Linked DNA regions of Macaca mulatta. The protein of the gene in region 1 interacts with the protein of each later gene in a pairwise test. Links are inferred from orthologs where the notes say so. Each region holds a gene or a part of one and is shown in the gene's direction. Other genes may lie near its edges. The genes, in order: EGFR, SH2B1, CAMLG, HSP90AA1, PRDX1, MAPT and ARPC5.

Evidence for each region.
Region 2: the proteins of EGFR (region 1) and SH2B1 interact in binary tests that used the Homo sapiens proteins (3 or more experiments, as listed by UniProt). The link is inferred for Macaca mulatta from reciprocal best matches to the Homo sapiens genes EGFR and SH2B1.
Region 3: the proteins of EGFR (region 1) and CAMLG interact in binary tests that used the Homo sapiens proteins (3 or more experiments, as listed by UniProt). The link is inferred for Macaca mulatta from reciprocal best matches to the Homo sapiens genes EGFR and CAMLG.
Region 4: the proteins of EGFR (region 1) and HSP90AA1 interact in binary tests that used the Homo sapiens proteins (3 or more experiments, as listed by UniProt). The link is inferred for Macaca mulatta from reciprocal best matches to the Homo sapiens genes EGFR and HSP90AA1.
Region 5: the proteins of EGFR (region 1) and PRDX1 interact in a protein complementation assay, tested with the Homo sapiens proteins (2 studies listed by BioGRID and IntAct). The link is inferred for Macaca mulatta from reciprocal best matches to the Homo sapiens genes EGFR and PRDX1.
Region 6: the proteins of EGFR (region 1) and MAPT interact in a protein complementation assay, tested with the Homo sapiens proteins (3 studies listed by BioGRID and IntAct, with this or other methods). The link is inferred for Macaca mulatta from reciprocal best matches to the Homo sapiens genes EGFR and MAPT.
Region 7: the proteins of EGFR (region 1) and ARPC5 interact in a protein complementation assay, tested with the Homo sapiens proteins (2 studies listed by IntAct). The link is inferred for Macaca mulatta from reciprocal best matches to the Homo sapiens genes EGFR and ARPC5.

Annotation. Positions count from the first base shown.
Region 1 is NC_133408.1:73,468,115-73,472,126, reverse strand, and holds the start of EGFR (epidermal growth factor receptor), read left to right. Parts: upstream 1-1,212; 5' UTR 1,213-1,473; coding exon 1,474-1,561; intron 1,562-1,700; exon of another isoform or gene 1,701-1,756; intron 1,757-2,112; exon of another isoform or gene 2,113-2,252; intron 2,253-4,012. UniProt on the Homo sapiens protein: Receptor tyrosine kinase binding ligands of the EGF family and activating several signaling cascades to convert extracellular cues into appropriate cellular responses.
Region 2 is NC_133425.1:28,067,778-28,071,277, reverse strand, and holds part of SH2B1 (SH2B adapter protein 1), read left to right. Parts: intron 1-1,987; coding exon 1,988-2,212; intron 2,213-2,418; coding exon 2,419-2,630; intron 2,631-2,762; coding exon 2,763-2,934; coding exon of another isoform or gene 2,935-2,987; intron 2,988-3,393; coding exon of another isoform or gene 3,394-3,493; intron 3,494-3,500. UniProt on the Homo sapiens protein: Adapter protein for several members of the tyrosine kinase receptor family.
Region 3 is NC_133411.1:143,664,713-143,668,875, forward strand, and holds the end of CAMLG (guided entry of tail-anchored proteins factor CAMLG), read left to right. Parts: intron 1-3,097; coding exon 3,098-3,289; 3' UTR 3,290-3,663; downstream 3,664-4,163. UniProt on the Homo sapiens protein: Required for the post-translational delivery of tail-anchored (TA) proteins to the endoplasmic reticulum.
Region 4 is NC_133412.1:175,437,709-175,441,830, reverse strand, and holds the start of HSP90AA1 (heat shock protein HSP 90-alpha), read left to right. Parts: upstream 1-1,322; 5' UTR 1,323-1,381; intron 1,382-1,979; coding exon 1,980-2,141; intron 2,142-2,230; coding exon 2,231-2,597; intron 2,598-2,917; coding exon 2,918-3,051; intron 3,052-3,345; coding exon 3,346-3,666; intron 3,667-3,781; coding exon 3,782-3,947; intron 3,948-4,122. UniProt on the Homo sapiens protein: Molecular chaperone that promotes the maturation, structural maintenance and proper regulation of specific target proteins involved for instance in cell cycle control and signal transduction.
Region 5 is NC_133406.1:195,090,957-195,095,089, forward strand, and holds the start of PRDX1 (peroxiredoxin-1), read left to right. Parts: upstream 1-1,333; 5' UTR 1,334-1,400; intron 1,401-4,133. UniProt on the Homo sapiens protein: Thiol-specific peroxidase that catalyzes the reduction of hydrogen peroxide and organic hydroperoxides to water and alcohols, respectively.
Region 6 is NC_133421.1:70,796,048-70,800,156, forward strand, and holds the start of MAPT (microtubule-associated protein tau), read left to right. Parts: upstream 1-1,309; 5' UTR 1,310-1,442; intron 1,443-2,161; exon of another isoform or gene 2,162-2,299; intron 2,300-4,109. UniProt on the Homo sapiens protein: Promotes microtubule assembly and stability, and might be involved in the establishment and maintenance of neuronal polarity.
Region 7 is NC_133406.1:41,108,321-41,112,333, reverse strand, and holds the start of ARPC5 (actin-related protein 2/3 complex subunit 5), read left to right. Parts: upstream 1-1,213; 5' UTR 1,214-1,357; coding exon 1,358-1,501; exon of another isoform or gene 1,502-2,444; intron 2,445-3,983; coding exon 3,984-4,013. UniProt on the Homo sapiens protein: Component of the Arp2/3 complex, a multiprotein complex that mediates actin polymerization upon stimulation by nucleation-promoting factor (NPF).

The DNA of each region.
Region 1 (4,012 bases):
GCTTGCCGTGGTGAAAAACCCACCGTTCAGGCTGCAGGGCGTGAAACCCAGGCACAAACACTTCGCTGGATGCGGAGGAAAGATGCAAGGTTGCTCCCCTTCAGAGACAGCAAAGGGCAGATCTGTAGCTCTACTTACTTCAGGATTATGATTTTTGACAGAGCCGGGAGATCAGGGTTGTTGAACCAGGCCTGAAGGTCCTAGTGAATCTCGTGAAGAGAGGAGGGGTCTGACTGTAACATGGACCTAGAGGACATTCTTACTGCAGGAGAAGCAACAGTGGGGATGGGGTGGACTTGCCAAAGGAATGTAGCTCAAGTTCCTGCAGCCTAAAGCAGCTCAGTTTCTTTCGGCCAAACTTTCGCGAACTTCCCTGGCATTTCTCCTGCGGGAGCTACCGGTGCAGTGGGACACTTAGCCTCTCTAAAAGCATCTCCACAGCTGTTTGTGTCAAGCCTTTATTCCAAGAGCCTCACTTTTGCGAAGTAACGTGCTTCACACATTGGCTTCAAAGTACCCACGGCCGGTTGCAGTAAACATTGAGGAGGCCTGTCTCTGCGCCCAAAGTTGGGTGCTCTCATTTCAGACGATTTCTAGGGTGCTTCACGGGATCTGAAGGACCCTCGGACTTTAGAGCACCACCTCGGACGCCTGGCACCCCTGCCGCGCGGGCACAGCGACCTCCTCAGCTGCCAGGCCAGCCTCTGATCCCCGCGAGGGTCCCTGGGTGCTGCAGGGGAGGTGGGGACCAGAATAAAGGAGCAGTTTCCCCGTCGGTGCCATTATTCGACGCTGGCTCTAGGGCTCGGCCAGTCTGTCTAAAGCTGGTAGAAGTTTGTTCTGTAAAACAAAAGAAGGGAAAGGGGGAAGGGGACCCTGGCACAGATTTGGCTCGACCTCGACATAGGCTGGGCCTGCAAGTCTGCGGGGACCCAGTCCAGAGGGGCAGTGCTGTGAACGCCCCTCACGGAAATTAACTCCTCAGGGCACCCGCTCCCCTCCCGCGCGCCACCCCCTTCCCGCGGGAGACCGGGTCCCGCGGGGGTCACCGCTGTCCACCGCCTCCGGCGGCCGCTGGCCTTGGGTCCCCGCGGCTGGTTCTCCTCCCTCCTCCTCTCATTCTCCTCCTCCTCTGCTCCTCCCGATCCCTCCTCCGCCGCCTGGTCCCTCCTCCTCCCGCCCTGCCTCCCCGCGCCCCGGCCCGCGCGAGCTAGACGTCCGGGCAGCCCCCGGCGCAGCGCGGCCGCAGCAGCCTCCGCCCCCGGCACGGTGTGCGCGCCCGCCGCGGCCAAAGCGGCCGGAGTCCCGAGCTAGCCCCGGCGGCCGCCGCCGCCCAGACCGGACGACAGGCCACCTCGTCGGCGTCCGCCCGAGTCCCCGCCTCGCCGCTAACGCCACAACCACCGCGCACGGCCGCCTGACTCCGTCCACTATTGATCCGGAGAGCCGGAGCTTGCTCTTCGGGGAGCAGCTATGCGACCCTCCGGGACGGCCGGGGCCGCGCTCCTGGCGCTGCTGGCTGCGCTCTGCCCCGCGAGTCGGGCTCTGGAGGAAAAGAAAGGTAAGGGCGTGTCTCGCCGGCTCCCGCGCTGCCCCCGGATCGCGCCCCGGACCCCGCAGCCAGCCCAGCCGCGCACCGGCGCACCGGCTCGGCGCCCGCGCCCCCGCCCGTCCTTTCCTGTTTCCTTGAGATCAGCTGCGCCGCCGGCCGGGACCGCGGGAGGAACGGGACGTTTCGTTCTTGGGCCAGGAGAGTCTGGGGCGGGCGGGGGAGGAGACGCGTGGGGCACTGGGCTGCGGGCCGGCGGGGAAACGGCCGCCTGGACCTCCGGCGCCCCGAACCGCTCCCAACTTTCCACCCTCACTTTCCCCGCCCCGCTGCGCGGAATCGGCGTCAGTGGGCGAAAGCCCCGTGCGGGTGGGTGCCTGGGGCCGGGGTCCCGCACGTGCGCCCCGCGCTGTCTTCCCAGGGCGCGGCGGGGTCGCGGCGCGCACCCGAGGGACTGGCGCTGCCCACCCGCCGAGGCTGCGCTGTTTAGGGAAGCTGAGGAAGGACCCCGAAAATAAAGCCTCCCTTCGGACCCCGCGGGACAGGCGGCTTCCTGAGCGAACCTCCCTGCCTCCGCGCTCCGCGCAGGTCTCAAACTGAAGCCGGAGCCGGCCAGCCTGACCCCGGCCCCTCTCCAGGTCCCCGCGATCCTCGTTCCCAGGTGTGGAGTCGCAGCCTCAACCTGGGAGCTGGGAGAAGTCCGCCACCACCTGCGGCGCCTGGGAAGGGGTGGTGCTGGCGGCGGTTAACTTCCTCGTTGGCAAAAGGCAGGTGGGGTCCGACCCGCCCCTTGGGCGCAGACCCCGGCCGCTCGCCTCACCCGGCGCGCCCTCGTCTTGCCGGTCCAGGTATGCCCCCCACCTCCTGGGGACCCGAGCTCCCTCCCGGGCGCCGGCGCAGAAAGGCCCGGGCTCTCGTTCGGTGGCCGCCTCGCGGGGACGTCCGGGTCTGCCCCACCTGCAGCCCTTCGGTCGCGCCTGGGCTTCGCGGTGGAGGGGGACGCGGCTGTCCGGCCACTGCTGGGGGGATCGCGGCCTCTAGTGCGGAAGCCCAGGAAGCAGAGCTCATCCTGGCCAGCACCACGGTGTTTCAAAATGGGGCTCACAGCAAAGTTTTCTCCTCAAAACCCGGAGAGTTTCTTTCTTGGATGTTTCTTTTTGCTGTCTGAAGAATTTGACATTGAGCCAACCAAAATATTAAACCTGTCTTACACACACACACACACACACACACACACACACACACACACACCGGATTGATGTCCCTGGTTCAAGTGTGCCAAGTGTCCAGACAGAACATGAGCGAGTCTGGCTTCGTGACTACTGACCATAAACCCACTTGACACGGGAAACATGCCTCGGAAGGTTTAATTGCACAATTCCAACCTTGAGCTGCGCGGGTTCCAAGAGCCAGGCCCGTACTTGCTGTTGATGTCACTGGCATGGGGAGTTGGGGTTTGGTGCCCAGCGCGGTCGTTGGGGGAGGGGCAAGACATAGAACAGTGGTTCCCAGACCTTGCTGCACGTTAGAATTACCTGGGATTAAAAAAAAAAAAAATCAAAACAAAAACCAGTGTCTGAATCCCGCCCCCAGACATTCTGATTTAATTGGCATGGGGCAAGACCTGGACATGGGATTTTTTTTTTAATGCTTTTCATGTGATCTGTTGGGGAGCCAGGTTTGGGGATCACCGGACGGAAGAAGGATTGTTAAAGTCTCCGGAGAGATTACTTGCCAATGCAAAGAGCTCTTTGAGGACATCTGGAATTTTAACAATGTTGCCAAATATAGGAAAGAGGGAAAAGGTGGGGTGTGGTTCCAATAATAAAAGATTCCTCTTTTCATTGAAGGAACTGGTGGAAAGGTTTCTTCTCTGCTGAGCTTGCAGGGCCCCTCCTGCCTGCTTGGGGGCTGACTGCGGGTCCTGTTAGTCAGGTGTCAGCCCTGTCTCTGCTGAAGAGACTCTTCTCTTTATTTTAAATTAAACCCTCAGAGCACCTCCAAAGCATCACTTTTCTCCCTCCAGTGGGGTTCTCATTCTTTGATGTTACTTGCTTGAACACCACTGTTAGTGATTGGAGATTTGTTCCTGAGAAAAATATAAATACCACTTAATTTGCCTGTTTATCCCGTATTCACTCAAAACAGAAACTCCTGAAGACAGAGAGAGTAGGTGAACAGGCGCTATTCTGTTACAGTAACATAAAAGACTGAATTTTCAGGGGCAAATTATTAAAGTAGGAGATGAGCTCTTTTAACAGAAATTTGTTTGAGACCTGTGTCTATCAAATTCAGTCGATTTTATTCAAGATGCACTTTGTTTAGTAAGGGTTTTGTTTGGTTCTGGGACATGCTAACTTCTGGACTTGCTGCTCTTAGACGTAATGACTGCCAGACACCGTTTCATGCGTCCTAATCCCCACATTAAGCATAAGAGGTGTACACTCTCCTCCTATGGGGGAA
Region 2 (3,500 bases), on another chromosome or scaffold:
TCCAGATTAGGCCTCCACTATAGCCTTTTCTCCTGACCCTCTGTTCTGAGTTCCAGCTGCATAGTGCCTAGCACACAGGCTGTATTCAGTGAATGAACACATGAATCATGGAATCTTAGATCTAGAGTGGACCGTGCATCTCATCAGATCTCAGTAGCTAAGACCAGGGAGAGGACACCTGAGGGTCACTGAGGAAGACAGGGGCTGTGCCACCCTGTCTCCCAAGCCATGCTGTCTGTGCACCACACGCCTGTGTTCTGAGCACTGCCTGCCTGTGACATTTGTGTAGGCTGTGGCCTGCCATTGGACAGACTTGGAGGATGCCCCTAGTGCATACCTGGCCCTGCGCTGTGTCCCGGGCCAGGATGGGGTAGCTAGGATGCCTGAGATGAGCTGCTTGTCCTCTGGAGGTTTTCAGCTGGGTTCACGTCACTCCCTGTAGAAAGCTTAATGTCCCCTGAGCAGCACAAGCAGGAAGCACGTTGGGAGCTCAGGGGAGGAAGAGAGCAGGGGAAGGTGGGAGAGACAGGGACTGTGACGCCAAGGAGAGGAGAGGACACGCCTGGGGATGCAAAGGGCAAGAGCAGAGACCTGTGGGGAGGGCCCAGGATATGGGGACAAATTGGATGGGATAATTGGGTTAAAGCGGAAGAGACATGAATACAAGGTGAGGTAAAGACCAAGTTGGTGTGGGTTGGGGGAGTAATAGAAGGAGCATCTTTGATGCCTCCTAGAGTTAGGGGGCTTTGTCCTATAGTTCAACAAAGGACACTTTTTTTTTGTTTGCTTGTGTGTTTTTGAAATTTTTTTATTTTTAAAAATTACTGTTTTTGTTTTTGAGATAAGGTCTCGCTCTGTCTCCCAGGCTGGAGTGCAGTGGTGCAATCACAACTTCCTGCAGCCTTGACCTCCCTGGCTCAAGCCGCTCAAGTTGCTGGTACCATAGGCGTGTGCCACCACCACACCTAGCTAATTTTTTTTTTTTTTTTGTAAGAGATGGGGTCTCACCATGTTGCCCAAACTGGTCTTGAACTCCTGGGCTCAAGTCATTCTTACACCTTGGCCTCCCAAAGGGCTGGGATTACAGGCGTGAGCCACTGTGTCCAGCCAGAATTCTGTGTGTGTGTGTGTGTGTGTGTTTTGAGACAGAGACTTGCTCTGTCACCCCGGCTGTGTGTGTGTGTGTGTGTGTATGTGTGTGTTTTGAGACAGAGACTTGCTCTGTCACCCCGGCTGTGTGTGTTTGTGTGTGTGTGTGTGTGTGTGTTGAGACAGAGACTTGCTCTGTCACCCAGGCTGCAGTGCAGTGAAACAATCTCAGCTCACTGCAACCTCCACCTCCTGGGTTCAAGCAATTCTCCTGCCTCAGCCTCCCAAGTAGCCGGGATTACAGGTGTGCACACCACGTCCAGCTAATTTTTGTATTTTTAGTAGAGACGGTGTTTCACCATGTTGTCTAGGCTGCTCTCAAACTCCTAACCTCAAGTGATCCTCCCACCTCAACCTCCCAAAGTGCTGGGATTACAGGTGTAAGCCACCGCGCCCGGCCCAGGACTCCTTTTGAATGTCAAAATATTTCAGGCAGCTGGGCACGGTGGCTCATGCCTGTGATCCCAGAGCTGAGGTGGGCAGATCACTTGAGTCCAGGAACTCAGGGCCGACCTGGGCTATTATATAGCGAGACCCCTTCTCTACAAAAACACATATGTATATATTTAAGACGTTCTACCCTCTGTTTCTGCAGTATTTCAGCTGTTGATTCAGAAAAAGATAGAGACACATTTGGACTTTAGGACCTCCTTGCAATAACTCTGCAGTCCCTCAGCAGCACAGGAAGCATCAGTTGGGAGCCATTGGTAAAAGCATCAGGGGTCACTACCCACAGAGCTGTCTGGCATCTTGGCCAGCGACTACACATAGGGTAGACTACTGGTGAGGAAATGGGCCCAGGACAGTCCTTAAGAAGAGGAGTTTCTTGGGTTCTCAGCTTTGCCCTTTTTCTTTCCAGGGGCGTACGGGGGCCTCTCAGACCGCCCCTCGGCATCCATCTCCCCCAGCTCTGCCTCCATTGCCGCTTCCCATTTTGACTCGATGGAACTGCTTCCCCCAGAGTTGCCCCCCCGCATCCCCATTGAAGAGGGACCCCCAGCAGGGACAGTTCATCCCCTCTCAGCCCCCTACCCTCCCTTGGACACTCCGGAAACAGCCACAGGTACCGGAGGTGTGAGTGTGCATGTCTCCAGGCTTGGGTGCCTGCCTTCCTGACCACCCCTCCTGGGATCCCGAGGGAGCTGGCCCGGGGGAGTTGGGGACGCATGCGGGGAGCAGGCGCCTCGAGGGGAAGGCAAAGCTTTTTTCTCCCAGGATGGGGGAGGCTGCCCTGACACCCCGGTTTCCCTCCCTCTCTCCTTCCTGAAGGGTCCTTCCTGTTCCAGGGGGAGCCAGAGGGCAGTGAGGGGGACCAGCCCCTCTCAGGGTATCCTTGGTTCCACGGGATGCTCTCTCGGCTCAAGGCTGCGCAGTTGGTGCTGACTGGCGGCACTGGCTCCCACGGTGTCTTCCTGGTGCGCCAGAGTGAGACAAGGCGGGGTGAATACGTCCTCACCTTCAACTTCCAGGGCAAGGCCAAGGTGAGCCACCCTTCAGGAAAGGCTCTGTTTTGTGCAGAGTTGGCGGTGGGGTGGCGGAGTGCTGCCGGGGGAGGGGGTTTGTACCTGGCAGGGTCTTTGCCTCCTACCTCACCTCACCCGTCCCGCCCTCAGCACCTGCGTTTGTCGCTGAACGAGGAGGGTCAGTGCCGGGTCCAGCACCTGTGGTTCCAGTCCATTTTCGATATGCTCGAGCACTTCCGGGTGCACCCCATCCCTCTGGAGTCAGGAGGCTCCAGTGATGTTGTCCTTGTCAGCTATGTCCCATCCTCCCAGCGACAGCAGGGTGAGCAGAGCAGGTCTGCAGGGGAGGAGGTGCCCGTGCACCCAAGAAGTGAGGTGTGTGTGCCAGAAAGATGGGGCGGGGGGGCTATGACAAGGAGAAGCTTTGCTTGGGAGAGCAGGGTAGAGGAGGCTGCTGTGCCTGGGGGTTTGGAAGGGAAAGAAATGCGCTGATAGGACACAGGAAGGCAGAAGGCTCCTGGCTGGAGCCGGGGCGGCAGCTGAGAGGTGGGCGGGCGCATCCCCATTCCATCGGATCCTCTGTTCCATTGTCTGTCTGTCTCCTGGACCCATCCTGGCCTCGTCTTTGCCCACCATCGCAGCCTGGCCTTGGGCCTGCCCTTCCCGGGGTCGCTCGGTCTGATCCCCCTCCCTCCTCCCTCAATGTCTCATGTCCCTGTCTGATCTCTCCCTTTCCCCTGCCCCACCGTCCCATCTGTCCCCACGTTGCCCCTCCCCCCAGGCCGGGAGCAGGCTGGGAGCCATGCGGGGGTGTGCGAGGGAGATGGATGCCACCCCGATGCCTCCTGCACCCTCATGCCCTTCGGAGCGAGTGACTGTGTGTAAGTG
Region 3 (4,163 bases), on another chromosome or scaffold:
GCTACTTGAAGTCTGAGGCAGGAGAATTGCTGGAACCCGGGTGGCAGAATTTACAGTGAGCCAAGATAGCGCCACTGCACTCCTGGGCGACAGAGCAAGACTGTCTCAAAAATAAATAAACACAAAAGTTGAAAGAATTGTGCCGTGAACACCCATTTATATAATACCACCTAGATTCTACAAGTAGCATCTTATTATATTACGTATCTATCAGATTTTTAGTTTTCAAACCCAAGATAATCTCTGTAAAGTTTTTCCATCAAATTTTTCTTGATGCATTTCAAAGTATATTGTAGGTGTACACATCGGTATACCTCACCCCTCTTACATAACATTAACTTACAATTTACTGTTTTAAGGTTCTTTTTTTAAGTAAAAAAAAAAATTTTTTTTAGATGTAGTCTCACTTTGTTACCAGGCTGGAGTGCAGTGGGCACAATCTTGGCTCACTGCAACCTCTGCCTCCCAGGTTCAAGCGATTCTCCCACCTCAGCCTCCCAAATAGCTGGGACTACAGGCACGTGCCACCAAGCCCAGCTAATTTTTGTATTTTTAGTAGAGACAGGGTTTCACCATGTTGAGCAGGATGGTCTCTCTCTTTTTTTTTTTTTTTTTTTTTTTTTGAGATGGAGTCTTGCTCTTTGGCCAGACTGGAGTGCAATAGCATGATCTTGCTCACTGCAACCTCTGCGTCCTAGGTTCAAGCGATTCCCCTGCCTCAGCCTCCCAAGTAGCTGAGATTACAGGCATATGCCACCACACCCAGCTAATTTTTTGTATTTTAGTAGAGACGGGGTTTCACCATGTTGGCCAAGACAATCTTGATCTCCTGACCTTGTGATCTGCCCACCTCAGCCTCCCAAAGTGCTGTAATTACAGGCATGAGCCACTGTGCCCAGCTGGTCTCTGGTCTCTATCTCTTGACCTTGTGATTCGCCCACCTCCGCCTTCCAAAGTGCTGCGATTACAGGTGTGAGCCGCCGCGCCCGGCCTTTTTTAGGTAAAATTTTAAGGTAAAATTAGTTCTGAGGCCGGGCGCAGTGGTTCATGCCTGTAATCCCAGCACTTTGGGAGGCCGAGATGGGCGGATCACCTGAAGTCAGGAGTTCAAGACCAGCCTGGCCAACATGGTGAAACCCCATCTCTACAAAAATTTGCCAGGCATGATGGTGGGTACCTATAATCCCAGCTACTGGGGAGGCTGATGTGGGAGAATCGCTTGAACCCAGAAGGTGGAGGTGGCGGTGGGCCGAGATCCTGCCATTGCACTCCAGCCTGAGCAACAGAGCGAGACTACGTCTCAAAAAAAAAGGAAAAAAAAAATTAGTTCTAATATGAAGACTAGGGTACCAGCATAATTAATTGATTGTTTGAAATGCTCTTCTTAATTGTACCATTTGATATGTTTGACATCCTGTGAAACCCATACCTCTTCCAAGGTTTATAACTTTGCTGTCACCCCAAGAGTTTCCTTCATGCTCCTTTCCAGGCAGTCCCAGTCCCTATACCCCAAAGATCTTTTTCCCACCATAGATTAGTTGTGTTTGGCATAGTAATTCATATAAGTGGGATCATTCTTGATTTTACTTTTTTCTGCATGCCTTCTTTTATTCTGCATGATATTTTTGAGATTTATCCATGTTGGATAAATCAGTAGTTAATTTCTTTTTTTTTTCTTGGCTCAATAATACTCCATTGTATGACTGTATCCATTTATCTAGTCTCCTGTAGATGGACATCTTGGTTGTTTTCAGTTTTGGGTTATTATGACTAAGAGCTTCCTTGTATGAGGCTTTTTGTGAGCATAAGCTTTCATTTCTCTTAGGTAACTATAGGTTTTTATACTAAAAAAATTTTTAAACCATATGATTGGATTTTGTGATAATAAAGAAAAATTCTGCTTTTTTTTTTTTTAAGAGGGAGTCTCGCTCTGTCGCCCAGACTGGAGTTCAGTGGCGCGATCTCGGCTCACTGCAACCTCCACGTTGTGGATTCAGGCAATTCTCCTGCCTCAGGCTCCTGAGTAGCTGGGACTACAGGCACCCACCACCGTGCCCGGCTATTTTTTGTATTTTAGTAGAGACAGGGTTTCACCATGTTGGTCAGGCTGGTCTCAATCTCCTGACCTCGTGAGCTGCCCGCCTTGGCCTCTCAAAGTGTCAGGATTACAAGCGTGAGCCACTGCGCCCAGCCCAGTCTTGCTATTAAAAGTTTTTTGAAAATGTCATCTTGGAAGCATGACATAAATAATAATTTATTATATATACAGTACAATATAAAAACAAGAATATATTATACAATATAAATATAAAATATACAGTACAATATAAAATAATATAAAATATAAATTTTATATATTAAAACAGTACAATATAAAAAGAAATATTACTAGACAGGACATAAATAACTGCTAAATGACTGACATGGATAATGTGTGACGTAGGAGCTCACAGGAGATATAAATTACTCCAGTGTTTTATGTAAATAAAGCACAAGGAGGACTTCAGGGGAAGTAGAATTAAAAACAGGCCTTCAGGCCAAGTGCAGTCTCTAATCCCAGCACTTTGGGAGGCTGAGGCTAGCTGATGGCTTCAGCTTACAAGTTTAAGACCACCCTGGGAAACATAGGAAGACTGTTTCTACAACAGATAACAAAAATTAGCTGAGCGTGCGCCTGTGGTCCCACCTACTCGGGAGGCTGAGGTGTCTCTACTAAAAATATGAAAATTAGCCAGGCGTGGTGGCAAGCGCCTGTAATCCCAGTTACTCAGGAAGCAGAGGCAGGAGAATCACTTGAACCCGGGAGGCGGAGGTTGCAGTGAGCCGAGATCGAGCCATTGCACTCCAGCCTGGGCGACAGAGCGAGACTGTCTCAAAAAAAAAAAAAAAGCAAGACTGATAATCTGCTATTGTCTAGCAGTTTGAAGATTTACATATTATGTGCTCAGTAAATGTTGGTATATTACTGATTGTTTTAAAATATCATTAACAGTTTTTAAATCATTTAGGTTGAAAATAGCAGTATTGATTATGTTTGTATAGAGCTTATGTAGTCTGCTGAAACTTTGAAGATTAATGTGAGTCTTTCTCTACACAGAGTGAAAAGAAGATAAAGACAACAGTACTAACAGCTGCACTTTTATTATCGGGAATTCCTGCTGAAGTGATAAATCGATCAATGGATACCTATAGCAAAATGGGCGAAGTCTTCACAGATCTCTGTGTCTACTTTTTCACCTTTATCTTTTGTCATGAACTGCTTGATTATTGGGGCTCTGAAGTACCATGAAGCCTGCAGAACTGAGAAGGAGAAGCTTACAAAAAAAAAAAAATCCTCTTTTATATTGCAGTGTCTCTAAAGGAGGCAAATTAGTTTACACCTTCATGTAATTCTTTTACTTTAGGGGTTGCAAAACTACTTTATTAGAAATAGAATGGCAGATTCTCTGATTTAAAAGGGCTGAGTTTGTATTATTACTGATATGAAGAACAGAGTACCAATGTCATTAATTGATTTTTCTTGTTTAATCAGAATCCTTATTCTGTACCTTTCCTCTAACTTCTCAGATTTGTAATTCTTCTTTTGGGAGCTGAACTAGTGCTTTTAGGAGAACAGATAAACGTAGTCTCAGCCAGCCCTAGAGACTGCTTCTTGTATTTGTGTCATTCTGTCCTGAGAAATGAAGTCATCTGAAAAATAAAATGAAAGAAACTGAATTGTCTAATGTTAAGTCTGCACATTGTAACTTTTCTTGTTGAGTTAGTATCTTAATTTTTACTCCAGCACAAGTATTTAATCAAAGAAATGATTCATACATGTGAAATTGGAAGGTATTTACAAAATTTTTATTGCTGTATACTAAACTCAGAATTGGAACTTTTTGCTTTTGAGTTTTCACTTTTTAGAAGTATGTTTTAAGCAAGCAAAAACAAAATGGGATGTGAAGAATTGAAGCAAGCAACCCAATAGCATAGATGTCCTTTTCCCCCCAAATATGGTCTAGATGAGTTACTATAAACATCGTTTTTATTTTTTTGAGATGGAGTTTTGCTCTTGTTGCCCAGGCTAGAGTGCAATGGTGCTATCTTGGCTCAACGCAACCTCTGCCTCCCTGGTTCAAGGGATTCTCCTGTCTCAGCCTCCTGAGTAGCTGGGATTACAG
Region 4 (4,122 bases), on another chromosome or scaffold:
AGCTTCCAGATTATTCCGAGGACCTGGCTATGAGTTTAGGCAGGAGGAGGCCCAATCATGGGAGGCGCCAGAGAGGAAGAGGACATGGACGAGGCATGGGAGCCAAGTCTAAGGAACCCCAACACCTCTAAGGTTCTCATAGCTGGCCTTGACCAAAATATCTGAAAATTCTCATGTAGAAACTGGTTCTTCCAGCCTGAGCAACATGGTGAAACCCCAACTATACAAATAAATACAAAAACTAGCCGGGTGTGGTGTCCGCGCTTGTGGTCCTCCGCCCGCGCTCGTCCCAGTTACTCGGAAAGCTGAAGTAGGAGGATCACCTGAGCCCGGGAGGTCGAAGCTGCGGTGAGCCAAGATTGTGCCACAGCACCCCAGCCTGGGCGACAGAGGGACAGCCTGTCCAAAAACAAAAAAACACCAAACCTGTCTTTTAGGGAAGGTTAATCACCAAAATGTCAAGTGTTAGATACTTAATTTGGAGACCTCAAATCGATCGGCAAAACGATGGGCTTTTAAAAAGCATGCCGGGTGTAGCTGGGTAAGCATGAATTTATTCACCAAGGGCCCGATTCCCAAGCTAAGGGACCCTGAAGTGTGAAGGACATGGCTTCCGGGGAACCCAAAGGTAGGGAGCGCTCCTGAGCCAGCAGTGGGTCTGGAGACTCCCCGAGCGCGCAGGCCGCGGGACGGCGTCCCCTGCGCGCAGCAGCTAGAAGCCAACAGCCCAAAGGCCCCCAGGGAGCAGAGCCCCGCGATCCCGGCGCCGCCTGCGGCTGGATTTTTTGGCAGCGGGCGCGCCGTCCGTGAGGATGACGGCTCCGGTAGTCTCCCGGGCGTGCGAGACCCGGGGCGCTCCCCGTCCACGCACGGCCCTCCCTCCAGGCGCGCCTCCCGCCCCAGCCCCGCATTCTGCGCAGCCCGGGTGACCAAACTACACCTCACTTCAAAGGCCCCCACGCCCGGGCGTGCCCTCCGCCCGCGCTCGGCAGGTGGGAGTGCAGGGAGGAGGGCGCGGGCGGCCCCAGAAGGCGCCCGGACCTTCCCGAGAATTCCAGGCCGCGCAGGCGCATTGAGGTCGGCGCGGGGGCGTGCGAGAGGCGCGGGGCGGTGATTGAGGGAAGGTTTCCCGGGCTGGGCCATGAGCAGGGCCTGCGCGCGCCAGCGGGAGGGGCGGGCCACGGCGAGGGCGCAGGCGCAGGCGCGCGGCCGCGGCGGCGGTTGGGGAGGGTTCTTCCGGAAGGTTCGGGAGGCTTCTGGAAAAAGCGCCGCGCGCTGGGCGGGCCCGTCGCTATATAAGGCAGGCGCGGGGGCGGCGCGTCAGTTGCTTCAGCGTCTTGGTGCTGCTGTGCCGTGGAACGTTTGCAGCCTTTTAGCCAAGGTGTGAGGGGCGGTTGTGGGGGCCTGTGGAGGTGGATTGGGGAGTGGGGGCGGTTGGCGCGGAGCGGAGGCTGTGGGGGCCGAACGGGAGCCCTGAACCCGCCAGGGCCGCTCTCCCGGGAGGCCGCGCTGCCTATTCCGGAGGCCGTGGGCCCGCTGCTGTCTCCGCAGCCCGCCTCAGGAATGGGCTGGGCGGCTGCTCCCCGAGTCTCCGCGGCAGCCCCGGAGCTGGCGCCGCACGCGAGCAGAGCGGCCCTTTGGCTGGGGGCCCCCCGGGCGGCCCAGCTGGGGCGCAGGCGGAGGAGGCCGCCCTGGCGGAGCCGCGGCCCGCGCGGGAGGGCACACGGGGTGTCGGTTGGGGACCGCGGCGCGGGACTGGGCCGGGCCTGCAGTGGCCTCCCGGAAGCGCGCACACGCTCGTGGTAGTTACCGCGCTCCGAAATGAGGTCATCCTTTGTCAGCCGCCCTTCTATTTTCGGTTTACTTAAACTTCGCAAATCTGCAATCCGGCTTTAAAAATATTGGGAGGACGCGATGGAATCTCGTGTTGCCCCTGTAGACGCCCTGCAGGGTTTTAAACCGGCGCGGTGTCGTTCCAGATGCCTGAGGAAACGCAGACCCAGGACCAACCGATGGAGGAGGAGGAGGTTGAGACGTTCGCCTTTCAGGCAGAAATTGCCCAGTTGATGTCATTGATTATCAATACTTTTTATTCGAACAAAGAGATCTTTCTAAGAGAGCTAATTTCAAATTCATCAGATGTAAGTCGTTTATTAACCCAGAATAGGATTTTGGTTTCAATATGAACTTCTTGGGGGCTGTATGCTTAATTAATATTTTGTGTTAATAGGCATTGGACAAAATCCGCTATGAGAGCTTGACGGATCCCAGTAAATTAGACTCTGGGAAAGAGCTGCATATTAACCTGATACCAAATAAACAAGATCGAACCCTCACTATTGTGGATACTGGAATTGGGATGACCAAGGCTGACTTGATCAATAACCTTGGTACTATCGCCAAGTCTGGGACCAAAGCGTTCATGGAAGCTTTGCAGGCTGGTGCAGATATCTCCATGATTGGCCAGTTCGGTGTTGGTTTTTATTCTGCTTATTTGGTTGCTGAGAAAGTAACTGTGATCACCAAACATAACGATGATGAGCAGTACGCCTGGGAGTCCTCAGCAGGGGGATCATTTACAGTGAGGACAGACACAGGTAGGTACCTGAACACTCACTGGTTAAGTCAGTGGCGGAATGGTGGGGTGTTGCAACCCTTGGACCCCTGGGGATGCGGCGAAGTTCACAGAAAGTGTGTTTACCCAAGGATCAGGAACAAGCTAGAGCTCTGAATTAGTGTGTAATGGCATGACTTGGTGATTACTTCTTTTGGGCAAGGCACTTAGATCTGCTGTGGGAGCCTTTGCATCTGTAGTAAGGGCAAACCTCGCTTCATAGACACGTTATAAGGGTTAAGCATGGCGTTGAGCACTAAATTGAATGTATTATTGAGTCAATTTTCCTTATTTCTCTTGCAGGTGAACCTATGGGTCGTGGAACAAAGGTTATCCTACACCTGAAAGAAGACCAAACTGAGTACTTGGAGGAACGAAGAATAAAGGAGATTGTGAAGAAACATTCTCAGTTTATTGGATATCCCATTACTCTTTTTGTAAGTTTCTACATAATTGCAGAGTGAATTACTGTCTGTAGGTGACTGGGGTGACTGTACTACATCCTTAGTTCCTAGGTCTGTTGAACTAGTTTGAAGCCTGGGGAACCTAAGCTCTACTAACTGTGAAGGTTCCTCGGGTTATTAAGTAGATATATCAAATATTGATGAGAAGCTGCCTGGCTGCTTCTCATCCTCGGTAATTTAGGCTTTGGCCTTAGGTTGAAAGTAGTGGGGCAGCGCTATGACTTAGTTCTAGAGTGCAGCAGTGATGCGATTTCATGTCTTTTGAAGGTGGAGAAGGAACGTGATAAAGAAGTCAGCGATGATGAGGCTGAAGAAAAAGAAGACAAAGAAGAAGAAAAAGAAAAAGAAGAGAAAGAGTCTGAAGACAAACCTGAAATTGAAGATGTTGGTTCTGATGAGGAAGAAGAAGAAAAGAAGGATGGTGACAAGAAGAAGAAAAAGAAGATTAAGGAGAAGTACATCGATCAAGAAGAACTCAACAAAACAAAGCCCATCTGGACCAGAAATCCCGACGATATTACTAATGAGGAGTATGGAGAATTCTACAAGAGCTTGACCAATGACTGGGAAGATCACTTGGCAGTGAAGGTGAGTGAGGGACTGATGGATGCTTCAAGCTTGTCTTTAGATTATCATCCCACCACCCCAAATATCTGCTATAATGCATTGTTCATTGATACTTAGTGTGTTTGTTCTATTACAGCATTTTTCAGTTGAAGGGCAGTTGGAATTCAGAGCCCTTCTATTTGTCCCACGACGTGCTCCTTTTGACCTGTTTGAAAACAGAAAGAAAAAGAACAACATCAAATTGTATGTACGCAGAGTTTTCATCATGGATAACTGTGAGGAGCTAATCCCTGAATATCTGAGTAAGTATAGATAGGAAAAATAATCACTGTCACTGATTAAAGAAATACTTCTGGCTGGGCATGGTGGCTCACACCTGTAATCCTAGCAGTTTGGGAACCCGGGGTGTGCGGATCACTTGAGGTCAGGAGTTCAAGACAAGCCTGGCCAACATGGTGAAACTCCATCTCTCCTGAA
Region 5 (4,133 bases), on another chromosome or scaffold:
GGCCTAAATCTACATTTTTACACAAGATAAGGTGAATGTTTGAGGAAAATGGGAATAGCGGAAGAAAACAATTGTGTGATGGACTCAGGGTAATCTAGTAGTAAGGTACTACTAGAAAGGTAGAAAGTAGTCTAGTAGAAAGGTAATATAGTAGTCAACATTTATGGAATTTGTGGAATAGAGGCCAGGTGAGGTGGCTCGCGCCTATATTCGTAGCACTTTGGGAGGACAAGGTGGGTGAATCACCTGAGGTCAGGCGTTGGAGGCCAGCCTAGCCAACAGGATGAAACCCCGTCTCTACTAAAAATATAAAAAATTAGCTGGGCATGGTGGTGCGTGCCTGTAGTCCCAGATACTCCGGAGGCTAGGCGGGAGAATCGCTTGAGCCCGGGAGGTGGAGGTTGCAGTAAGCCTACACCGTGCCACTGCACTACAGCCTGGGCGACAGGGTGAGTGAGACTCGTCTCAAAAAAAATGTGGAATACAACAAACTTTCGTTTTAGGAACTAGACTTTAGATTGCAGATCTAGTTACAATTGACACGTCCTTGTTTTATGGGAGGCTACATACTTTAAAGGTTTCCAGGGTAGCAAATAATTGTGATTTTGTGTATGTGTGTTTGTGGGGGGTAGTCATCAGGAAGTGTCTGAGGCCTTTTGCCTTACTGTGTAGGTCTGGCTAATGTGTAATATTTTGACTCAAGATTGTAAAGTCAAGTTATTCATCCGGGGAAAGGATGGTCGTGTAGCTGAATCAGCGTCCTAAACTGAACTTTCCCTTTGGCATAAGTTTAGGAGTCCTGATATTTTATTTTGCTTTACAACAGAAAGCAGCAACCCTGTAATCAAAGAGAACAATGAAGGAAGCTATCTAACCCATGAGGGTTACTGAGGATCTGCGCTGGGGTTAAGGCTGCTTAACTTAAGAAATATTCGGACAGACAGTTCTCATGGCTTGGTGTGGTTAGACGTGGTCATCCGTGGGCAGCAGCTAGGACGCTTACTCCGGTTTGGGCATTAAGGGCACAGTGCGTAGTGGTCCTGGAAGTAAAGGGAATCCTGGTTTTTCGCAGAGACCTTGGATTAACCTAAGCGTTTGGGTTTGGGAGCGGCCACAAGAGCGCCTCACTCCAGCCTCAGCCATCCGCAGCAGGGAGAGGTATTAGTATTTCCGCGCCCGCCCCCACGAGGAAAAGCGCCGAGTCATTCCGGTGGGGCGCGCCGGGCGGGGCTCGGGCCACATCCCCCTCCTCTTTCTTCTCTTCCAGAACCCCTGGTCCGCTCCGACTCTCGCGAGAGCCCTACTGGCTATAAAGGCAGCGCCCCGGGCGGATTTTGCGCGTTTTGTTCTTGCCTGTTTTGTTCTTCCGTGGTGTTGATCTGTGAGTTGTGTTAGGACTGGTGAGTGTGGGCAGCGCGGCCTCTGCGGAGTGAGGCGCGGCGCGCCTTTCTTGTCTGTTGCCTCTTCCTTCTCCTGTCCGGGGCTCGCCCGCCCTTGGGTGGGGGTACTGTGATGCGTGAGGCGGCCGGGGGAGACCCGGAGCCCGAGACTGCCTGAGCGCTACGCGCACCCCTCTCATGGGCCCCCCACGTAGGTGCGGGGACGTGGGACCCCAAGGCTAGCGTGGACTCGAGTCGAGTCGTTCCCCGGCAACTTGAGCACGTGGCGCGGCGTCTGGGCGGGCTGGTGGTGGGGTCTCCAAGACTAGCCTCCTGTCGGGCGGGGTGGGTTCGGGAAGCTTCTGGAATGGACCTGTATCCGGACTCGTGGCTGTAGAAGACAGCCTGTATTTTTGTCCATCTTGTGATAGGGTAAATGCTGTTCCGGGTCCTGAGCCTTGACTAGCTGCGGAGCTTCGGGTACCCTTTCCCCGTCTTTATTTTCCTGTACGTGGAATGGAGTTAGTGATGAGCCCAAATGTCCCCGCTGAAGCACTCTTTCTGCTGGTACTTTACACAGTGCTGGGGAGGGACAGGGGTACCTGAAGTGGGGTTCAGGGGTGTGGCCCTCGGCACTGGGCAGATCCCCTGAAGGGGCCCGGCGCCGGCCTGAAGCAGCCTTTACCCCGAATTGGTTGGGTTTGGTACTTGGGAGCCACCTGGGAAAGTAGGATGGGACGAGAAGGCCATTTGGGGACACCAAGTTGCAGCATGCATTAGTTTCTGGTTTTTGTTTTTTGTCGTTAAAGGTGTTAAGGACTTTTTAAAAAACAGTTTTTAAAGAACTTTAGGACTTGGAAAAACTTTTAGACTGCGGCTCAGTGGGTTAAAACTCTGTTTTTTTTTTTGAGAGAGTCTCGCTCTGTCGGCCAGGCTGGAGTAGCAGTGGTGCGGTCTCGGCTTACTGGGACAACCTCTGTCTGCCGAACTCAAGCAATTCTCCTCCCTCAGTCTCGCGAGTAGCTGGAATTACAGGCGTGTGCCACCAAGCCCCGGCAAATTTTTGCTGTTTTTCTTTTCTTTTTTTTTGAGATGGAGTCTCGCTTTGTCGCCCAGGCTGGAGTGCAGTGGTGCGATCTCGGCTCACTGCAAGCTCCGCCTCGCGGGTTCAGCCATTCTCCTGCATCAGCTCCTGAGTAGCTGGAACTGCAGACGCCGGTCACCACGCCCGGCTAATTTTTTTTTTTTTTTTGTAGTTGTAGTAGAGACGGGGTTTCACCATGTTGGCCAGGCCTGTCGCGAACTTTTTTTTTTTTTTTTTTTGAGACGGAGTCTTGCTCTGTCTCCTAGGCTGGAGTGCAGTGGCGGGATCTCGGCTCACTGCAGCCTCCATCTCCCGGTTTCAAGTGATTCTCCTGCCTCAGCCTCCGGAGTAGCTGGGACTACGGGCGCGTGCCACCACACCCGGCTAACTTTTTGTATTTTTGTTAGAGACGGGGTTTAACTATGTTGGCCGGGCTATTCTCGAACTCCTGACTTGAGGTGATCTGCCTGTCTCAGCTACCAAAGTGCTGGCATTACAGGCCAAGATCTCGATGCTTATCTTGGTGTTGATCTGGGTGAATCCTGCGCAACCTTCCTTTTCAGAAGTAAATTGATTCTTGTTCTACTTCTTTTCGCCCTGGGATATTAGCCCAGAAGTCAGGAACCCATTTGTGAAGGGACTTCTAGGGCTTACACAATACCTAAAGATTTGAAATTAAGCAGACGCCAATATCTTGGTCTTCCCGCGCCCCCCCCCCCCACCGGCTTTTTTTTTTCTTCACTGTATGGCCCAGAGTGAAAAGTCTCACTCTGTCGCCCAGGCTGCAGTGCAGTGGTGTGATCTTGCCTTACTGCAACCTCTGCCTCCCGGGTTCAAGCGATTCACCTGCTTCAGCAGCCTCCTGAGTAGTTGCGATTACAGGCATGCACCACCACTCTCGGCTAATTTTTGTATTTTTAGTAGAGACAGGGTTTCACCATGTTGGCCAGACTGGTCTTGAACTCCTGACCTTGTGATCCGCCTGCCTCGGCCTTCGGAAGTGCTGGGATTACAGGTGTGAGCCACCGCGCCCAGTGGTCTTGCCTCTTAAAAGTTGGACTGGCTGGAAGGGTGCGGTGGCTCACACCTGTAATCCCAGCATTTTGGGAGGCTGAGTTGGGCGATCACCTGAGGTGAGGAGTTCGAGACCAGCCTGACCAACATGGAGAAACCCTTTCTCTAATAAAACTACAAAAAAATTAGCCGGGTGTAGTGGCTAGCGCCTGTAATCCCAGATACTCCGGAGGCTGAGGCAGGAGAATCACTTGAACCCTAGAGGTGGAGGTTGCGGTGAGCCGAGATAGCGCCATTGCACTCCAGCCTGGGCCCCAAGAGCGAAACTCCGTCCAAAAAAAATAAAATAAAACAAGTTGTGTTAGTTATAGGTCGACCGTGTGCTGTCTTTGACAAAGCTACCTGGAGAAAAGTCAAATATGCTTCTGACGTTATTAAGGCAGGTGGAGGCACAGTAATGGGAAAGGTCAACATGACTATGAGCCAAACAAAAGTGTTTGTGGCATTGTGCATTCGGATTCTGGTTTGAGAGTCTTCACCTGCCTCCCTCTCTGCTTCTGTCTAATGAATAAGATGCCACTGCACTAATTATGGTTCAGAAAGAGTGAGAGGTTTTCTTAGTATATAAAGAAATTGCCTTGTCGTTTTTAAATGAA
Region 6 (4,109 bases), on another chromosome or scaffold:
ATTGGCTCATGAGACATTCTGAAGTCAGAAGGCTAGGGCAGATCGCTTTCAGCAAGCCCCCACGGTGGTTCTCACTCCTACTTCTTTGGATATATGCCCCTCTGTTTAAAAATAAAGTTAATATGGATAAAAAAAAAAAGAAAGAAAAAGGTCAGTTCCAGAAACTCAGTGTGAATAAAGCATTTTACTTGCTTTTTCTATTAATCTATAACATATGTTGGTTTTTAAAAAATAATGTAAGAACCATGCAAATTGGAGCTTCAAGACAACTTCCCATCTCCCTAGGAGGAGACGGCTGCCCTAAACCCCCATACATAGAAATCCACCCACTGCCAGGGCTTAAATTTGACGTTGGGGAAATGAAAAATCCAAGCTAAGGCCGAAGCTTGGTGCCTGGGTGACCAGTAGAATGAGGACCACTGGTCAGTTTCAGGCTGAGATGCCTCTTCAGGGGACAATCTCCAGCTGGCCCTTAAACATTCAGACTTCAAACTCTACTTACAGCATAAAGATGTTTCAAAAGACGTGATACAAATAACTGTGTGTGCAAATGTTCTGCGATGTGTTAAGCACTATTTCAATTTCGTCTAATTTAAGATTTCTTTTCTAGCGTCACGGTTACATACATCATAGATCCAAATGCTTTTTTTTAAAGTACAGTTCTACTGTATTGTAACAGAGTTAGCTTGCTTTAAGTGAATTTGTTAAGGAAAGGATTCACCTTGGTCAGTAACAAAAAAGATGGGAAAAAAGCAAGGAGAAAGGAAGCAGCCTGGGGAAAAGCGACCTTAGCCAGGGGGGCGATTTCGGGACTCGGAGGGTCGGGGTGGACGGACTGGGGAGCTGGCCACGTGGAAGGTCGCTCAGGACCTCTCCAGGAGAGGACACCGCCTCAGGCTGACTGAAAGGAAAGGGGCAGGAGACCCACTGGCGGAGTCACTGGCCTTGCCCCGACCCCGCAGGGCCCGAAGAAGACACCCACCCCTCCAACGAGACAAAGGCTCCAGCTATGGGAGGCGGAGAGTGCGCGTGCGCCATGGAACGCGCGTGCGCGCTGCGGTCAGCGCCGCGGCCTGAGGCGTAGGGGGAGGGGCACCGGGAAAGGGCAGCGCCGAGAGGAACCAGCCGGGAGGCGCCGGACAGCCGAGCGGCAGGGCGCTCGCGCGCGCCCACTGGTGGCCGGAGGAGAAGGCTCCCGCGGAGGCCGGGCTGCCCGCCCCCTCCCCTGGGGAGGCTCGCGCTCCCGCTGCTCGCGCCTGCGCCGCCTGCCGGCCTCGGGAACGCGCCCTCTTCGCCGGCGCGCGCCCTCGCAGTCACCGCCACCCACCAGCTCCGGCACCAACAGCAGCGCCGCTGCCACCGCCCACCTTCTGCCGCCGCCACCACAGCCACCTTCTCCTCCTCCGCTGTCCTCTCCCGTCCTCGCCTCTGTCGACTATCAGGTAAGCGCCGCGGCTCCGAAATCTGCCTCGCCGTCCGCCCCTGTGCACCCCTGCGCCGCCGCCCCTAGCCCTCAGCCTCCACAGACTGGGGCTTCGTGCGCCGGGCATCGGTCGGGGCGACCGCAGGGCCCCTCCCTGCCTCCCCTGCTCGGGGGCTGGGGCCAGGGCGGCCTGGAAAGGGACGTGAGCAAGGGATGCACGCACGCCTGAGTGCGCGCGTGTGTGTGTGCTGGAGGGTCTTCACCCGCTTCGCGCCGACCCCAGGTGGAGGCCGTGCCGGCAGGGTGGGGCGCGGCGGCGGTGACTTGGGGGAGGGGGCTGCCCTTCACTCTCGACCGCAGTCTTTTGCCGCAATGGGCGTGCGTGGGGGGGAGGGGTCCGATAACGACCCCCGAAACCGAACCTGAAATCCGCTGTCCCTGCCGCTGTTCGCCATCAGCCCTAAGGAAGATGTGGATCGGGTTCTAGAAAAGATGACTGACTCCCTGCACGCCCCTCCCTTTACCTCCCGAGCAGTGATTCCGACAGGGCCTTCACCGCCCCTGATTTTAGGCGGGGGCCGGCCCCCTCCCCTTTTCCTCCTTCAGAAACCCGTAGGGGACATTTGGGGGCTGGGAGGAATCGAGGAGATGGGGAGGGGTCCAGGCGCTGTCACTTTAGTTGCCCTTCCCCCTGCGCACGCCTGGCACAGAGACGCGAGCAGCGCCGTGCCTGAGAACAGTGCGAGGATCCCAGTGTGCACGCTCGCAAAGGCAGGGGTCACCTGGCCTGGCGATGTGGACGGAGTCGGCGGCCGCCGGTCCCCGCTCGCGGGCAGGCACAGCAGCAGCCATGCACTGACGGGCGCGGGGCTGCAGGTGCATCTCGGGGCGGGTTTCTTTCTCAGCGCTCCGCGCGCAGGGTGCCCGGCGTGTGCGCTCCCTGCCGGAGGCGCGGGGCTGGCGCGCAGGGCTCGCCCCTCACTGCGGCAGTGGGTGTGGATCCTGGTGGGCGAGGAGGGGGGAGGATAGGCTGTGCCTCCTCCCACTCCCGAGGTGCCATCTTTTTTCGGCGTGTCACGTCTTTACGGTGCCATGCCAAACCGGGTGGCCGGGCTTCGTAGGACAGGGCGGGGCCTGGCATTAAAGGGAGGGGGACAATCAGCGCTGAAATCTTGGCGTTTTGCTGCTGCGGGCGTGAGCGCTGGGGGCGTTCACCCAGCACCTTCTTCGGGGGCTCTTTGCTTTGTCTGTAGAGGTTACGTGATCTGCGCTCCCAGCCCTGGTTTCTGGCTTTTATTCTGAGGGTGTTTAGCCAACCTCCCCCCACCCCCAAGCACCTCTTTCCTTTTTCGTTCCTCATTTCCGAGCCCATTGTTGGATCTCGAGGCTTGCTGGGGTCGACGAACCCGAGTCAACCCCCCGACCCCCGGCACGCATGGAACGGGCGTGACCGCGCGCAGCCTCGTCTCGGAGTCTGCGGGCGCCAGGAAGCTTCTGAAGGGATGGGATTCGAGTCTCCGTGCTGCGCTGCGGGCGGCGGCAGAGGGATCACGCCCCTCCCAACACCCCGAGTGTCCTGAGGGCCAAGCCACACCAGGTTGCCCAACGAGGGACGCTGGCTACCCATTCGGGGATGGGTGGGGAGCCCCGGTGGGGCCTCTCCAGCTTTACGCCCTGTTGCTTCGCCTGGCGGGAGAATGTGAGGAGGGGGCATAAGGTTACTGGTGCTGCGGCCACACCCATTTTTCTGAGCCCACTGGAGGGGGCACAGAGGGGGAATTGCCATGGGAACCACAGGCGTCCGGAGAGGGGACCTTGGGGCTGGCCCCACCCCTTCCCTGGGGAGATTGGGGACCCTGGGGTAGGCGGGGCCGCGCCCAGTTGGCCTCCTGGAGGACACGGGAGGAAGCCCCCAACCCCTGCACCTGAGACTCTAATTGGCCTCTGGCGGCCGCAGATAGGCAGCCCTTGGGTGTATTTTTATTAATATTATGTCTGTACTGATTAATATTATTTATCGTAAATGCGGGATTTCACCCGTATCCAAGTTCACCGTACCCCCAAAACCGAGTCTGGGGCTGCAAGGAGAACTCCTGGCCAAGGCATCCGAGCCTCGCCCTCCTGTGATGAACCTGGTACGCGCCGTTTTCTGGTTAATTCTATCGATGAAAACTGGTGCGGGGGGGCGCACTTCTGAGACGAACGAGCATCTAGGAGCTGAATCCTTCACGCGGGCTGCCCAGGTTGATCTGAATTTCCGGGGAATGGCTTGACTGGGGAACTAGAGCCCGCCCGGGACCAGGCTGACCTTCCTCGACGGTGGCGTCGAGGGCTGGAGCCTGAGTGCTGCGAGGCTTCCCGCATGGCTGAGCCACCGCAAGGGGTTGCAGAGCGGCTCAGGGGTCAGTTCAAGCATCTTCTCTCCTCCCTCGCCCCCAGACAGAGCTGGGCGCGGGATTCCGGTTCCAGATGGAGTGAGGGTCTCGGGACGGCCCTGGAAAAGGGGAGCCCACGGTCAAGGCTGCCTGTTGCCATCTCGAGCAGAGATGTCACCTGCTGCCGTTGGAGGAAAGGGAGCCCGGTGGGGATGAGCGCATTTAGCCCAATGCTGGGAACAAAGCACAATCCGCGCTTCTGCGATTTCGCTCCATTTTGAAATGTGTTGGCGCTTTGGTTGGGCCACTGC
Region 7 (4,013 bases), on another chromosome or scaffold:
AGTGCTCTTTTCAACACAGCACTGGAAACCAAAGATTGTGGCACACAACAGGACAACAGCCAGTCTTCTGTTCGAGGTCCAACTAAACTAGACCCATACCTGAGCAATGTCCAGCCAAATGTCCAAATTAATTTTATCCTGCAAATATTTGTTCTTCAGTGTAATACACACAGCACAACTACCATTTCCTTCGTCTTAGTGCCTTTATCTCCTACATTCCGGAAATGGGGATGTCAAATATTTTTTTTAAAATCTGGCCTAGATGGAATCATATAAATCTTAAATCATAATATAAATCTTAAAGGTCTGGTTTCCACCAATCCTTACCCATTTTGTTTTCCCCCAGCACTAGAGAGCCTAACCTACCCTCACCCCTTTTCAGCATTCTTGCTCCAAACAACCACCTATTTTAAGATGTCAATGACCCTTTCCCAAATTCTACAAATTCACCCCAGTTTTGCCAACCGACCCCAGCGCCTGCCCGGACACATTCCCCTCCCTCCCAGTAGATTTGATACCGAGTTCAGGTTCTGCAGATCCCGTCGTGATGCTGTCACACAGCACTGACAGATAAGATTTGACCTTTCGACTCCGTCCTTGGGGACCTCCCGCTGGCCAAGTAGGGTAGTTCCAACCCCAGGAAACGGGCTTCCCGCTCAGGAACGCAGCCCCTAGCAGCGCACAGTCCGAGGTAACGTCTCCGGCAATTAGAACGATGCTGGGCGCCCGGGTGTGCATCACTCCGCCTCATACTCCTGCCAACTGCAGGGCACTCGGTCCGGCAGCCAAGTCCATCCCACCCACATCCAAGTCCCAGCCAGTCGGACCTTACGCAGGACCCGGATGACAGGTCGTTGACGGCTGCAGCAAAAGTCAATGCCACCTGCCGCTGCTGCCCATCACCGACAACCTCAGACCCCCTAGACTGGACCGCAGAAAAGCGTTTCTATGGGAACCCCCTGGGAATCACGTGACGCACTCGGACGACCAATCGTTTCTTACCTCCGCCCGCGATCCAGGTTTCGGCCCTCCCTCTCGCCCCCTCCTCCTTCGCCCAGCCCCGCCCCTTGCCTACGGAGAGCCCGCGCCTGCGCGCTGTGTCCTGCGCCCTCCCTCCCCCGCGCGCGCTCTCCGTGAAAGAGTGGGGGCGGCGTGGGAGGCGCCAGGAGAGCGTGAACCTGAGGAGGAAGCAGCAGGGTTGGCGCGCAGGCCCAGAACCGTCCCAGCCACGGCAGCCGGCGACGCCCCAGAGCGGAAGAGGGAAGTGAATCAGGCGCCGGGCAGTGGGCTGCTGGGCTCGGCTTGCTGAGGTAGAGGCAGCTCCAAGAAGAGGCCTTTGCCGCTGGTAGGGATTGGGATGTCGAAGAACACAGTGTCGTCAGCCCGGTTCCGGAAGGTGGACGTGGATGAATATGACGAGAACAAGTTCGTGGACGAAGAAGATGGGGGCGACGGCCAGGCCGGGCCCGATGAGGGCGAGGTGGACTCCTGCCTACGGCAATATCCTTGCATTCGCCGCCCTCCCCACCCTAGCCCAGCCCAGCCCGCCCTTGTCCAGAGACCCGGGAGCCTGAAGGTTCCGCGGGGCCCCGGCGCGGAGCTGCCCTGTCTACCTGCGGCTAAACCTGTCTCTTTGGGGTCTCCCGCTCTGAGAGGGCAGGAGGAAGCCCCCGTTTCCTACTCAGGAGCCAGGAGACGCGAGGGTCCCACTCTTGGAAGCCTGCCCTCCCCCGCGCGCCTTCCACGCCCCCAGATTCCTCAGGTTGCACCCGAGTGCCTGCCTGCCTCGGGAACCGGTCCCGCCGGCCGCGCCTTCGCGGCGTTGGGGAAGGCGGCCCGGGCTGGTGGGGAAGGCTGGTGCCGAGCGCCTAAGTTTTTCTTCCTAGAACTCTATTTCCCGGAGTCACATTAGCTCCAGAAATTTCTGATTGTGGGGAACCTGCGTCTTTCCTTAGTGATTTTGTTTTTTGTTGTGTTTTTGTTATTGCTAGCATTAAGATAGTTTATTCCTTACCGGGGGCAGAAGGTAGATGGTACGGTTTGAAAATTGAGGTCCCCTATGCTTTCAGCCCATTGGCCTTTAAAAAAAGAAAAAAAAGGGAGGGGGGGATTTGACAAAATATACATTGCACAGAATTTGTTAACCGGGGGAGGGGAATGAATACAATTTTTTGTATTCCTAAAATTGATTCCATTTTAGTTAAAATATGGCTGTCAGTTCCCGGTTTCTGTTTTTGCATATTTGAATATTCATAACTTTGACTCCGTATTTGCATTACATCTTTTTTAGAAAAATGTAAATGTTGCAAAAAACCGAAGCTATAGTTTTAGAAAATCTCAAACACTGGCTTTTTATGCATTTCTAATTATTGGGTGTATTCATAAGGAAGACTCAATGTCCTGTTATATGAGGAAAATGTGAGTGAAAATATTTAATGGCAACAGTATCCTTTTTTAAAGGCACCTAAATACAGCATTAGACATTTATCAATATATAGCTAGTCCTTTGATTGCCACAACTTTCACAATTAATTAGCTGTTGCTCTTTTGCATTATTTAAATAAGTGCTTGGGGTCATACAAAATGAGCTAATCACATGAGGCATGCTTCTCTAGAAATCCTTGCAGCCTTGAAAATAACAGCTTGTCAACCAGAGATTTTGTGTGTGTGAGAACTTTTTCTTCGGAAGATAAATGGTGAACATGCTTCCTAAAAACATTTGTGATGGATAGATGGTGTTTTATGAAACCCCAATGTATTTTAGGTAATTTATGGTGACTGCTGTGTCCATATCAGTGGATCCGCTTTTTGATCAGTACATCTTAAAATAAAAAGATACTGTCTTTTCTTACCCTTACATACAGCCAGGAAAGACAGCCCTAGTGGTGGGGTACTAGAGATGGAGGAACAAGTGAACTCTGTGGTTTTCCTTTTAGGGGAATGTCTGGTACATTCTGACAGTCTGATTGGCCTTCTGTTTCTCATGCTTGCTAACTCACTAGTGCTTTCAAAGAGAGTCTGAATTTAATAGGTATGGTCTAACACAGTTTGAATAACCGTTGTGAAATATGAGAGAAAATATCTAAAGCAAAAAATTAAGCTGCCACCTAAGGGACATATGAATTATTACATCTTCTGTGATGCCTCTTTTCATCAATATTGAGAGACTGCTAATGTGTATCATTGAGATTGCTAATCTGCCAGCATGTTCTACCAGCATTTCAGTTAATATAGAATATAGTAAAAGTTTGGTCTTTATTTTTTCAATTAGAATCACAGGAAAAGACATATTTTGGTTGATAATAGGTTATTTCATTTGGGGGACTAATAATTCTGATACATATTTTAGGATTTCTTTTTTTTTTTTTTTTTTTTTTTTTGAGACGGGAGTCTCGCTCTGTCACCCAGGCTGGAGTGCAGTGGCCGGATCTCAGCTTACTGCAAGCTCCGCCTCCCGGGTTTAGCCATTCTCCTGCCTCAGCCTCCCGAGTAGCTGGGATTACAGGCGCCCGCCACTTCGCCCGGCTAGTTTTTTGTATTTTTTAGTAGAGACGGGGTTTCACCGTGTTCGCCAGGATGGTCTCGATCTCCTGACCTCGTGATCCGCCGGTCTCGGCCTCCCAAAGTGCTGGGATTACAGGCTTGAGCCACCGCGCCCGGCCTAGGATTTCTTTAACACCACTCTAGGTAATGTTTGCATATGTATCTCACTGGGCAATGAAAGACTATCAAGGTGTTCATTTGATAGTTAGAACCAAGGGTGAAACAGTCTTTGCTTTATTAAAAAGAAAGTCTAATGTTCTGTTTTGCTTTTGATATCTTGCCCTTGATTAACATCCTGGAAACCAACACATTGAATTTCCAGTATTGAACATGGTGACCAGTAATTTTCTTTTTATATATAAAGCAAGTCTTCAGAACCAGTGGTTATAATACTTTCCTGGGGGCCATGCTTTGCTGCTACACCCTTAACTTCCATCACAGGAAACATGACAGCTGCCCTACAGGCAGCT